Linked DNA regions of Schizosaccharomyces pombe. The gene in region 2 interacts genetically with the main gene of each other region. Each region holds a gene or a part of one and is shown on either strand. Other genes may lie near its edges.

What was found.
Region 1: of gal10 (region 2) and ght2, changing one enhances a phenotype caused by changing the other (phenotypic enhancement), as found in Schizosaccharomyces pombe (one study listed by BioGRID).

What each region holds. Positions count from the first base shown.
Region 1 is NC_003423.3:3,424,917-3,429,990, reverse strand, and holds ght2 (plasma membrane glucose/fructose:proton symporter Ght2), read right to left. Parts: upstream 2,832-5,074; 5' UTR 2,420-2,831; coding exon 824-2,419; 3' UTR 567-823; downstream 1-566. Other genes in the region: U1 snRNP-associated protein Prp39, read right to left, coding at 1-51, 99-190. UniProt on the Schizosaccharomyces pombe protein: High-affinity glucose transporter.
Region 2 is NC_003423.3:4,483,441-4,489,385, forward strand, and holds gal10 (UDP-glucose 4-epimerase/aldose 1-epimerase Gal10), read right to left. Parts: upstream 4,096-5,945; 5' UTR 3,979-4,095; coding exon 1,837-3,978; 3' UTR 1,717-1,836; coding exon of another isoform or gene 619-1,716; 3' UTR 583-618; downstream 1-582. Other genes in the region: galactose-1-phosphate uridylyltransferase Gal7, read right to left, coding at 1-238; tgd1 (nucleotide-sugar 4,6-dehydratase), read left to right, coding at 619-1,716; galactokinase Gal1, read left to right, coding at 5,051-5,945. UniProt on the Schizosaccharomyces pombe protein: Mutarotase converts alpha-aldose to the beta-anomer. It is active on D-glucose, L-arabinose, D-xylose, D-galactose, maltose and lactose.

The DNA.
Region 1 (5,074 bases), 1.1 Mb from region 2:
TTTCTGCCAACACCTCCCTCAAGATGTTCTGAAGCACGAACCAGTCCTTCCCTAAATCATAATTAGCACTAAATAAGTTGTATCTGACAACATCCTACCAAGCATCAAAATCATCTGGATTTTTATTTATTTGACGATTATATTTATCCCATTCTGTTTCCTCTGCAATGTAAATATCCCCATAATCCATTTTGGTTCGCAAGTATAAAAGCGCGTAAGGATAAAATGTAAATATCGAACAGCAACGAAATATACTTTCTTCAGCCGTATTCGGTTGAACTTAAATAAATTACAATATTAGTTTAGTGCAGTACATTAGTCTGCCGAATCGTATCATACAGAATAATACGACACTGCCCGCAACGCTGATTTAAAAATTAATAACTAATAAAGTACATTTGGGCGATACACAAGCGTAAAATGATTATTGTTCTGTAACAGACTTACTAATATAATGAAAATTCAACTACAAATCACTGTATAAACATGACTCACTTCAACATTTACAAATATTTATTAACATTGGAAATACTTAGCTACTAAGCAACGAATCAACAAAAACTTAATTAGGTATAAAAAATATTATTTCCTATAATGAACACAAAAACACAAAAATGGACAAAGAATGCACATGTATCTAATATTATATGCAAACGAACATAATCTCAAAAAACTAGATTTAAGATGCACAGTAACTTAACAAATTATCAATCCAAACTTAGCTAATAATATAATATATAGACCCAACGAATCGGAACAACAAATTTTGGATCTAGCTGCCTCACACAATTCATAAATCATACAAAGACGTTTAGCTATTGCCTTATGCGTAATCTTCCTCATGGGAAGAGTATTGTGGAGATGAGTCAGTGTTTGAAGCACGCTCAACATACTCAACAGACTCACCACGGGCACCGCCCTTTCTGGATTTCTCTTTCTCAACTTTCTTTTGCTCAGAATAGTTAAGCTTAAAGTTACCAGATTCCCAGGGCTTGATGACAGACATATACAACTCATTAATTTCTTCCAAAGTAAGACCTTTAGTCTCTTTAGCAAACAAGAAAATAACAATTGCACCGGTCAAATTACAAGAAGCAAAAACGTAACCGTACTTGAATCCAATAGAAGCTTGAATGAATGGAGTAAAGAATGAAATTAGGAAATTCCAGAGCCAGTTGCTAGCAGTAGCGACGGCAGCACACTTAGAGCGGTAACGAACAGGGTATGACTCACCAACAATAACGTATGCGGCAGGAGCCCAAGTTTGAGCAAATCCAAAAATGAAAAGACATGCCATGACAATCATAACGGCACCAGCACGGGTATTTGAAGTACCGTTCTTATGATATAAAGCACGAGAACCGACAGCTGAATAAATGAAAAAGCAAATTGACTGCCAAATACCACCAATGATAAGAGGGTTACGACGACCAAACCTTTCCAATACATACATACCACCAAAAGTGCAGCCAAAATTAACTGCATCAAGAATCATAGCAGATAGGTAAGGAGAATTAATACCAGCTCCTTGCATAACTGAGAAACCATAGTAGAAGAAATAGTTGTTACCGGTCAATTGTTGAAGCGACATAACAAACATACCAAGGAAAGTACGATAACGAATGTCTTTACCGAAAATGCTTGCCCAGCTGCAAGGGCCACCAGCAAATTCTTCGTCAATAGATGATTTGAGACGGTGATATTCATTTTGAACTTCCTCACTATCAGGAAAAAGCTCAGCACTTTCAGAAAGAACTCTAACAGCCTCTTCATCCTTGCCAACTTGAATAAGATAACGAGGGGATTCGGGAAGGAAGAGAATTCCAATCATGGTAATGATACCCCAAAGGAGATTAATACCAATTGAAACACGCCACTGGGCAGTTTTATGAAGTTTGTGAGTACCCATATTGATACAAGCGGCAATGAAAATTCCACCAGTGACAAACAACTGATAAGTGACGACGACGGTACCACGAATACTGGGAGGAGCAGTCTCTGATTGATATCCAGGAGCCAAGACAGAAAGAGCGCCAATACCAATACCAGTCCAAATCTTGGCAACCATGATTTGTACCCAAGAGGGAACAGCGGTAACTTGAACGATGATACCAATGATATAAACAGCACAAAAACCAATGATAGAAAGTCTCTTACCAAAACGATCGGCAATGGGAGAAGAAATGATACATCCAAACAAGGAACCAACGTTAACCATACCAGTTAAAAGACCTTGACGAGCCGAAGACAAAGAATACTGGTCGGTGATCGGGTCATATCTATCAGCATAACGCTCACGAAAATCGCGCATACTAGTAACACCACCAATGGAACCGGTATCAGCACCAAACATCCAACCGGCCATGGAGACGAAAATTAACATAACAAGGGTAAAATTCTTTCCACGCTTGAACCCCATTTTGATAAAGTATAAAGGAATCTAATAAAGATGAAAAAAAACAAAAATTCTATAGAAAGGATGTAAGTGGAAAATAAAAGATTGAATAAAATTAACCACACGTCTATTTCAGTTGCAACACGTTAAGCAGAAATGATAGAACAAAGAACAGACAGTTTATGAGTTAGAGATCTTGACAAGAGATTCTCAATAAATAAAAATTAAAAGAAAAATTAATCTAGATTATGATTTTCAAGCACAGAGAGCTTGTATTTTCAAAATCGGTATAAAGAAAGGGTAACCAAGGAAAGCACAATGCTTTTATTGAGCTTTCTTTGGATTTCGTTCTTGTTTAACCAAAAAAAGAAAGGATTTTTAGGTAAATGAAGACTAAAGTTGCTCTTGCACTTAAAAAGCAAGAATAGGTCTAGGTAAAGATTTTAACAGTCAAGAGGGCAGCTTTTATACTAAATTCGGGAAGAGAAACCCCGACAAAAGTATCAAAAGTCCTTTGCTTTCAGTGAAATTTTAGACAGGATCGCCGGAGAGTTTTTGGTTATACGTCACAATATTACAAGGGCAACAAGGTAGTTAGCAAACTCTTGTATCATTGGACGCCGACTTAAAAAAACGCAGTCACACACAAATAAGAACGAATAAGATGTGGAATAGAATTTAAACGACGTGTATGACGAGGATCAACAGCTCGTTGAAAGTCAAGAACGAGGTAAAAATGTCACGATATCATTAATTCTCCATAGCAAAAAAAAAAATTCAATCGTAAAATGATACACTGTACGTAATGAAACTGATGCATATACTGGGGAAAGACACTATTAGTGAGGTAGAAAGCCGATAACAGGATGAAAAAACGACTTTCAATAAATGTGATGTAGGAATAATTCTCAAAAGTAAAGTAAATTTAAATACTTTGGCGACCGAGGCTGCAAGTTCGGACTGCTAGCAAATACAGAGTGTATTCCAACGTCAATAATTTTAGCAAAGTAACCGAAAAAACCAAGTATATTTCTATACTCCTCATATCGTTAAATCAAGATTGAACACAAAAAAACGTTTCCTGAGGCAAAAGAAGTAAAGTGTCTGCAGTAAAATTAATTCGCAAGGCGAAAAAATAATACCAATGGTGGCCATACGTATTGGAACCAGCAAATATCAAAGTTTAAAACACAGCATACTCTCATCGCTGCATGACTATCTCAAAGCTGGCAATAGAACAATTAACGTTACGGAACCATAATCCTTCAAATTTCGATTGCTTGCATTCTCGAGCTCCACATATTCGAGTCCATAACGGAACTAACCTAAATGCGGAGTTCCTCTAGTATTAACTAGTAACATGAATAGAGCATAGCCGTGCTCTTTTTTTTTAAGAAAACGTCACGCAACGTGTATCTTATCTCTGTCCTATCCAAGTCAGGATAGCTAGGGGCCCCCAACCTGGAGACCATACATCGACCGCGACACCAACCATCCTAGCGAGACTCCCTAACAAGAAGGTAAATATGGATGGACAATGAACCTTTTCAAAAAAAAACAGAATTCTCAAGCGATATATTCGCTCTTGAACAGTTCGGTGTAAAAGGATACTTCTATCCCTTGATTACGTGTACGCCCATACTTCATTCGGACTATAGAAGAAATATGGAGCTGTAACCCGTACTGCAATTGTCTGTGTTAAGAAAATGTAAACGCTGCACACTAAATCATCACTAATTCATCGCTAACTAACGTAGTCCCTAAAAAGTTATGAACTTGGTAAACGACTTTTGAGGCCTTGGGACCTCCTTAAATACGCCCAACTCATTACTAACAAGGTTTGCTATGTCCGTGAAAAGCGCCTATTGTACATATATTGCTCCCATATATGTGAAGCTTTTGCCCAATCATTGTAAGACAGGGTCTTGCTATATTTCCCTACCCCGCTCCATTCTTCCCAAGTCTGAGAAAAACTGTGGAGAAGCCTACCAATTTTGCCTAAGGGGATTTTGATCCCGCCTCTGCAATCTATTGGACGATAATAGCTATAACTACATTTGATTGGATGAAAGACATGTGATGAATGCTGGATGGTTTTGTTGTTTTTAAATGACCACCGATAATTTTTTTAGTTAGTACGCATACATTGATGAAAGCTGAAAAATTATAATAGGGTGAATAAATGAAATTCTTTTTGTGTCTTTTACTCTAATATCGTCTGGCAATTTTCTATTTTCGTACTTCGATAGCGCCATACATGTCTTGTCACCCGTTTTTACGAGCTAGGCTTAGAAATATCTTGGAATTTTTTTTCAGACATGTTGATGATTGGCTGATACTTTTTCCAGTTCTGCCTCCTCCACAATTTGCATCCGCGTTTTCCAGAGACGTTGGGGCAATAACTTTGTCTAACATTAAATTGAAATTACAAGGGTAAGTATTTGAATCAAGACTAACCTTTATACGTTGAATGTCTTCGATATTGTAGAGAATGCCTTGAAAAAAAAATTTTATTTGTGTTAATACAATCTAATATTGTGGAATAAAAAATGGTTTGTGACTGCTCTTCTGTTCTCGGCTGTTGTATTTCTTAATAGGACGGCTCGTAAAATTCGTTATTTGCGCGTCCAGTACACCATCGATTCCCATATTATCCACAGTTTACAAATAACAATATTT
Region 2 (5,945 bases):
CATTGGGAAAAACATATGTTGTCTCATACTTCGGATTTTCAAAACCTGTAGCCCTAATATTACCAGGGCATAGGTAACATGTTGGATCGTACTTTACAGTGTCATCTTTCTTGATCTCTTCTTTAGCTCCCTGCCATGGTCTCTTTGCTCTATGAGGTGAACACAAAACGTACGAATCCGTTAATGGATTATAACGACGATGTGAATACTCGGTAAAATCAAATTTTTTGCTAGTCATTCCTCTTTGCTTCCCAGTACGAGCAGCTGGATTCGTTCGGTATATATATACCACTTTCTTACATGTTTTGCAAAATATCCGAACCCGCAATTATGTGGGGGGCCAAGTAAGTAAAACAGGACTAATATGATATGAATAAAGTTTCAAGCTTCTCATGCATTGTATGTTAAGCGGGACACATGCGGAGGTTAGATGAAATAAGTAAAGGGATCCACAAACACACGGAAAAGGGGCTGGAAAAATTACGTTGCTTATACGGTCTTGATATCATAAATATCATCATTCATTTTGAATAAAATAAAACCACGTCTACATTTTTTATAATTCTATTTTTTTTTAAAAAAAGTACGTTTCTTAAATTTATCTCGTTGGCACTGATAATGACTGGGGACTATAAAGAATATAAAGGATATGCATTGATTACAGGAGGTGCGGGCTTTATTGGGTCAAACTTTTTAGATTATGCTGTGGACAAATACCCTGACTTTCACTTTACGTGTATAGACAAATTAAGCTATGTGAGCAATTATACCACGGTATTCTTGAGCAAAGTTTTGAACCAACCTAATTTCCGATTTCTTGAAATGGACCTGGCTACGAATTATAAATTCTTGTATCAATTTATGGTTGAAGATTCCGAAATTAATAAAATTACGCACATAATAAATTTTGCTGCCGAGTCCAGTGTTGATAGATCGTTTATCGATCCTTTGTACTTTACCAAAAACAACATTTTGAGCACTCAAAATTTGTTAGAGTGCGTAAGAATACTTTTAGGTAAAAAAGAGGAATTACGTAATCGACTCAATTTCGTTCATGTTTCTACTGATGAGGTTTATGGTGAGCAGGATGAAAATGCATCGGTAGATGAGAAATCAAAGTTAAACCCCACCAGTCCTTATGCCGCATCCAAAGCTGCTGTTGACTTGATAATTCAATCATATCGATATTCGTACAAAATATCAGTGACTGTGATAAGAGCAAATAATGTATATGGTCCTCGACAATACGAAGAGAAACTAATTCCTATGACTCTTGGAAAGCTAAAGAAGTTCATTAACCAAAAATCTCAGAAAATAATGCAAGACAAAATCACACTGCATGGAGATGGGTTACATAAACGAAAATATTTGCACATCTACGATTTTATTAACGCAATAGACTTGGTCTGGATGAAGCAGGGAAGTGAAGTTTATCATAGCACACTTGAATCTAAGATGTCTGGCCAGATTTTCAATATTGGTTCGGATGATGAAATCGATAATCTAAGTTTGGTCAAGTTCATTTGCGACTATTTCTTATATCGAAAGCTGTCTTTGAAAAACTTGGATTATTCAAAATACATAACGTTTGTTCAAGATAGAAATTACAACGATTCAAGATATTCGTTGAATTATGAAAAAATTAAAAGTTTAGGTTGGAGACCTCAAATCCCATTGGAGACAGGGCTAAGAAAATTAATTGACGAGTACTATTAATGAGAAAAAACTGAAAACACATAATAATACTTTAAAACAACTTTAACGTTGTAAACCACAAATTTCCTTTTATTGAACAAAAAGATGCTTAATCGGCTGGGTTTTATTAAGTTTTTTCATTTAATAGTATTCTCCACTATTGTACGATGCTGAATCTAAAAAATGTTTGTTTTCTTCTAAATCTTGTGCGTAAAGGGAGAATTTCGACCTCGCACCATAAACTTCACCTTTGCGTAAGATTACCTGTTTTGACCATTTCTCATTATTCAAAGCGTTGATAAATCTACCTGTTTCCACACAAAATCCGCTGCGACTTTGAAACTCACAGATGTCATTTCCATCACCGGTGTAAAGTTGAAATGCAGGTTCTGTTGTAGACACCACGAGCTTCACCGGCACAGAGGGATGTATTACTTCAACAATATTTTTTAAAGAATACTTTCGTGTGTCCAAACAGAACTTGCTAGCTTCCCTGTCTACTATAAAGCAATTGTCAAACGAGATGTTTGGGTCAAGCTTGGTTGGTTTAGTTATGTCATTTTGCCATTCGACAATATCACCAGTCGGTAACGAGGTTTCCGAATTCACTTTTAAATAGACGTTAGTCGTGCTTTTAATTATTGTTCCGTCAATAGTTTTATTAGGAGAGGCTAAATTCCAGTAAGAATGATTTGTCAGATTTACGGCTGTTACATTGAGTTTCGAGTATTCTGGAATAACAGATTTGTATTCAATTTCCAAAGAGTTATTTTTGATTGTATATTTGACTAAGGTTTCCAGGTCAGAAGGAAAGCCGTTGTTACCATCTTTGTCAACTAAAATGAATTCCAGTGTATTGTAGTCCTCATACTGTCGAGCGATAGGCCCCAAGAAAAACTGCTTATCGAATCCATTATTTCCTCCATGTAAGGTGGTTTTATTGTTTTCGTTCTTACATAATGTGTACAAATGTCCATCCACTTCAAATTGTCCATTCGCTATTCGGTTGGCAAATCTGCCAATTGTCGCCCCAAAGAACGGATTCTCTTTAAGCTTATACCGTGAAAAATCATTAAATCCATTTACTAAATTCCTCCCTTTATATCTTACTGCTTGCACTAATGCTCCGTAATTGGCTATGGAAACCTCAAGATCTTGAAAGCAGATAGTATGGAGTCTATTCTTATAATCCATAATCCCAAGAGTGTTAAACAACTTCCATTTGTAGTTGTCAATTTGAAATCCAAAAGGATTTTCGATCGTCCATTTCCACAAGTCTCTACAAGCATCTGTAATACTCAATTCAGCCTTCCATTTTAATTCACTATTTGCTCGATTCGGGCTTGCTGTCAAGTTGAGAACATCACCTGTTCTTCTGCCCACCACTTCATACGGTAAATCTTTACCTACTTCCTTACAAAAGGCATGATAAATATCGAACACGGAGGAACCTTTTCCTGTTCCCAAGTTCCACTCTCTGTACATTCCTTCACTATTATTGATTTTGTTTAGGTAGTTTAAAGCGGCAATATGTCCCTTAGCTAAATCCACAACGTGTATGTAGTCTCGGATAGGAGTCCCATCATGGCTATCGTAATCATCACCAAATACTAACAACTTTTCTCGCCTACCGATGGCTACTTGGGCTAGAAACGGTAAAAGATTGTTGGGAATACCCAAAGGGTCTTCGCCAAGTAGGCCTGATGGGTGAGCTCCAATTGGGTTAAAATATCTAAGTATTGCGCCTCGCCAAGTATTGTCGCTAGTGTGCAAATCTTTAATGATATTTTCAATAGCGTACTTTGTTTTCCCGTATGGATTGGTTGGGTCATTAGGACACGACTCTGGGATTGGAATCATGTTGTCAAATCTAGTAGCATCGCCGTATACGGTGGCAGATGAGCTAAACACAACTGTCTTGACCCGGTGTTCACGCATTACATTTAGTAAAGTAATAGTACCGCAAATATTATTGTCGTAGTACTCCAGTGGTAATTTCATTGATTCCCCAACTGCTTTTAAAGCCGCAAAATGAATAACACCCTTGATTTTAAAGGTATCAAAAATTTGAGCCAAGCCTTCTTTATCGCGAAGGTCAAGCTTAAAAAATTTAATTGATTTTCTCACAATAAATTCGACTCTTGCTACAGCATCATAACACGAATTGCACAAATTATCTACAATTATTACTTTATATCCATGGTTGATTAGTTCAATGACTGTATGTGAACCAATGTAACCAGCGCCACCAGTTACAAGAATGTATTCGTCTTGAACCGCCATTTTATAAAGAACAAAAAGGAGCTTAAAAAAATACTCAAAAAATTTGTTTTCGAAATATGGGTTAAGGTTCTTTAGGGGCTTCTTATGTTAGCTTTAATATGCGATATGTGTGTGACTAGAGTATCTCCAAACGTAAGCATATATATACAATTTTAAAATGTAACGTGGCTTCTCCAGGCGTACAATCACATTACCCCAAGTTTCGTTAATTAAACTGTGACTTTCTGCATCGAATATTCTAGCCATATTCAAGCAACAAAAGCTCCCATCTTCTCCGCTTTATTATAAGCTATGATTACCGGATTTCGTAAAAAAGCGCATACCCAACAGTTCTCAACTTAGGTTGGTGCTCTATTGGTTCTTCTCAGTGGGGTACGGTTCGTTTAAATGATATTAAACTGCATGCTATTACATGGTTGAAACGTTAACTTACCCATCTTTTGCGGATTGAGAATTTGATGTGGGGGCACAGAAGAATAAAGACACAGATGTTCCATTAAAAGTATGAGAATTATTGTCATTCTTTTGGTGTATTTTGTAGTCGCAAGGTCTTTTATAAAAAATTACCAAGTATTTCGCAGAGAATTGTCCGGAGGTTGAAATAAGAAATTAAGAAACTTAATACAAACGGAATTCCAAAAATATTTTTGCAAAGCCTTTATTTATATTAAACAACTGATATTTTTTAATCAATGTCACAAAGTTATTTTTTATGAATACCGTTTTCCGAACCCTCCATGCAACACTTTTAACTTCACCGTATGTCTCAGGTAACGCAAAGTCTAAATGACATAAATCAGTAAACAAGAAGTAAATAAGGCAAAAAGGGTCAAACTTTTGACAATTTATATAATCGTAGTAGTATAACGTGGTTTGCTTGACTGATCAAACTAATTTTTAAGGCAAGAAGAAGTGTTTATCGATTTTCAGAGCAAATAAACAAAAAGATAAAAGCTGCATCTATATTTTTTCAAAAAGAAGTGAAAAAAGGAGAGAATACCTTTTCATTGATCATTTTCAAGTTTACTTTTTCTTTACCACATTTGTAATTTTTTCTGATTGGTCTCAAATTATGGCTACCGTTCCTACATATCACGACTTATCATTTTACTCCAACCCAAAAGAAAACAAAGCTAGGTATGCAAAGTTGCTAAACAGTTTTGAACAAAAATATCACTGCAAGCCAGATTTTTTTAGTCGCTCGCCTGGCAGAGTAAACATCATTGGCGAACATATTGACTACAACTACTTTTCAGTATTGCCAATGGCAATTGACGTTGATGTTATTGTTTCAGTTACCACAAGTGATGATGCCAAAGTTGAGTTGAATAACACGAATCCAGAATTCAAGGAGGAAATATTGGAATTACCGAGTGACGGGGCAGTGATTGAAATTAACAAAACCCACCACACCTGGGGAAACTACTTTCGATGCTCTATGATTGTTGCTCATAAATATATTTTAGAGAAATACCCAGAATTAGTCAGTGGGGGTAAGAAGCCTTTAAAAGGATTAAAGTTGATTTTTGATGGTAACGTTCCCACTGGTGGAGGACTATCATCTTCGGCGGCCTTCTGTGTGGCATCGATTTTAGCCATTTTGAAAGCCAATGGAATTAATACAATTACCAAAGAAGACCTCGTCAAGATTAGTGTTGTTTCCGAGCATTATGTAGGTGTCAACACGGGCGGTATGGATCAATGTGCTTCTATCTATGGAGAGCAAAACAAGGCGCTTTTGGTTCAATTTAAACCAAAGCTTATGGCAACACCGTTTAAGATGCCGGTACTCAAACCTCATGACATGGTATTTCTAATCTCTAACACACTTGTGGAAGCAAATAAGCAAGAAACCGCATTAACAAATTACAATCTACGAGTGGTGGAAATGGCAGTTGCTTCAGAATTTTTGGCAAAAAAATTTAACTTAGAATTGCCAAAGGAGTCAAATTTACACACTGGTACAT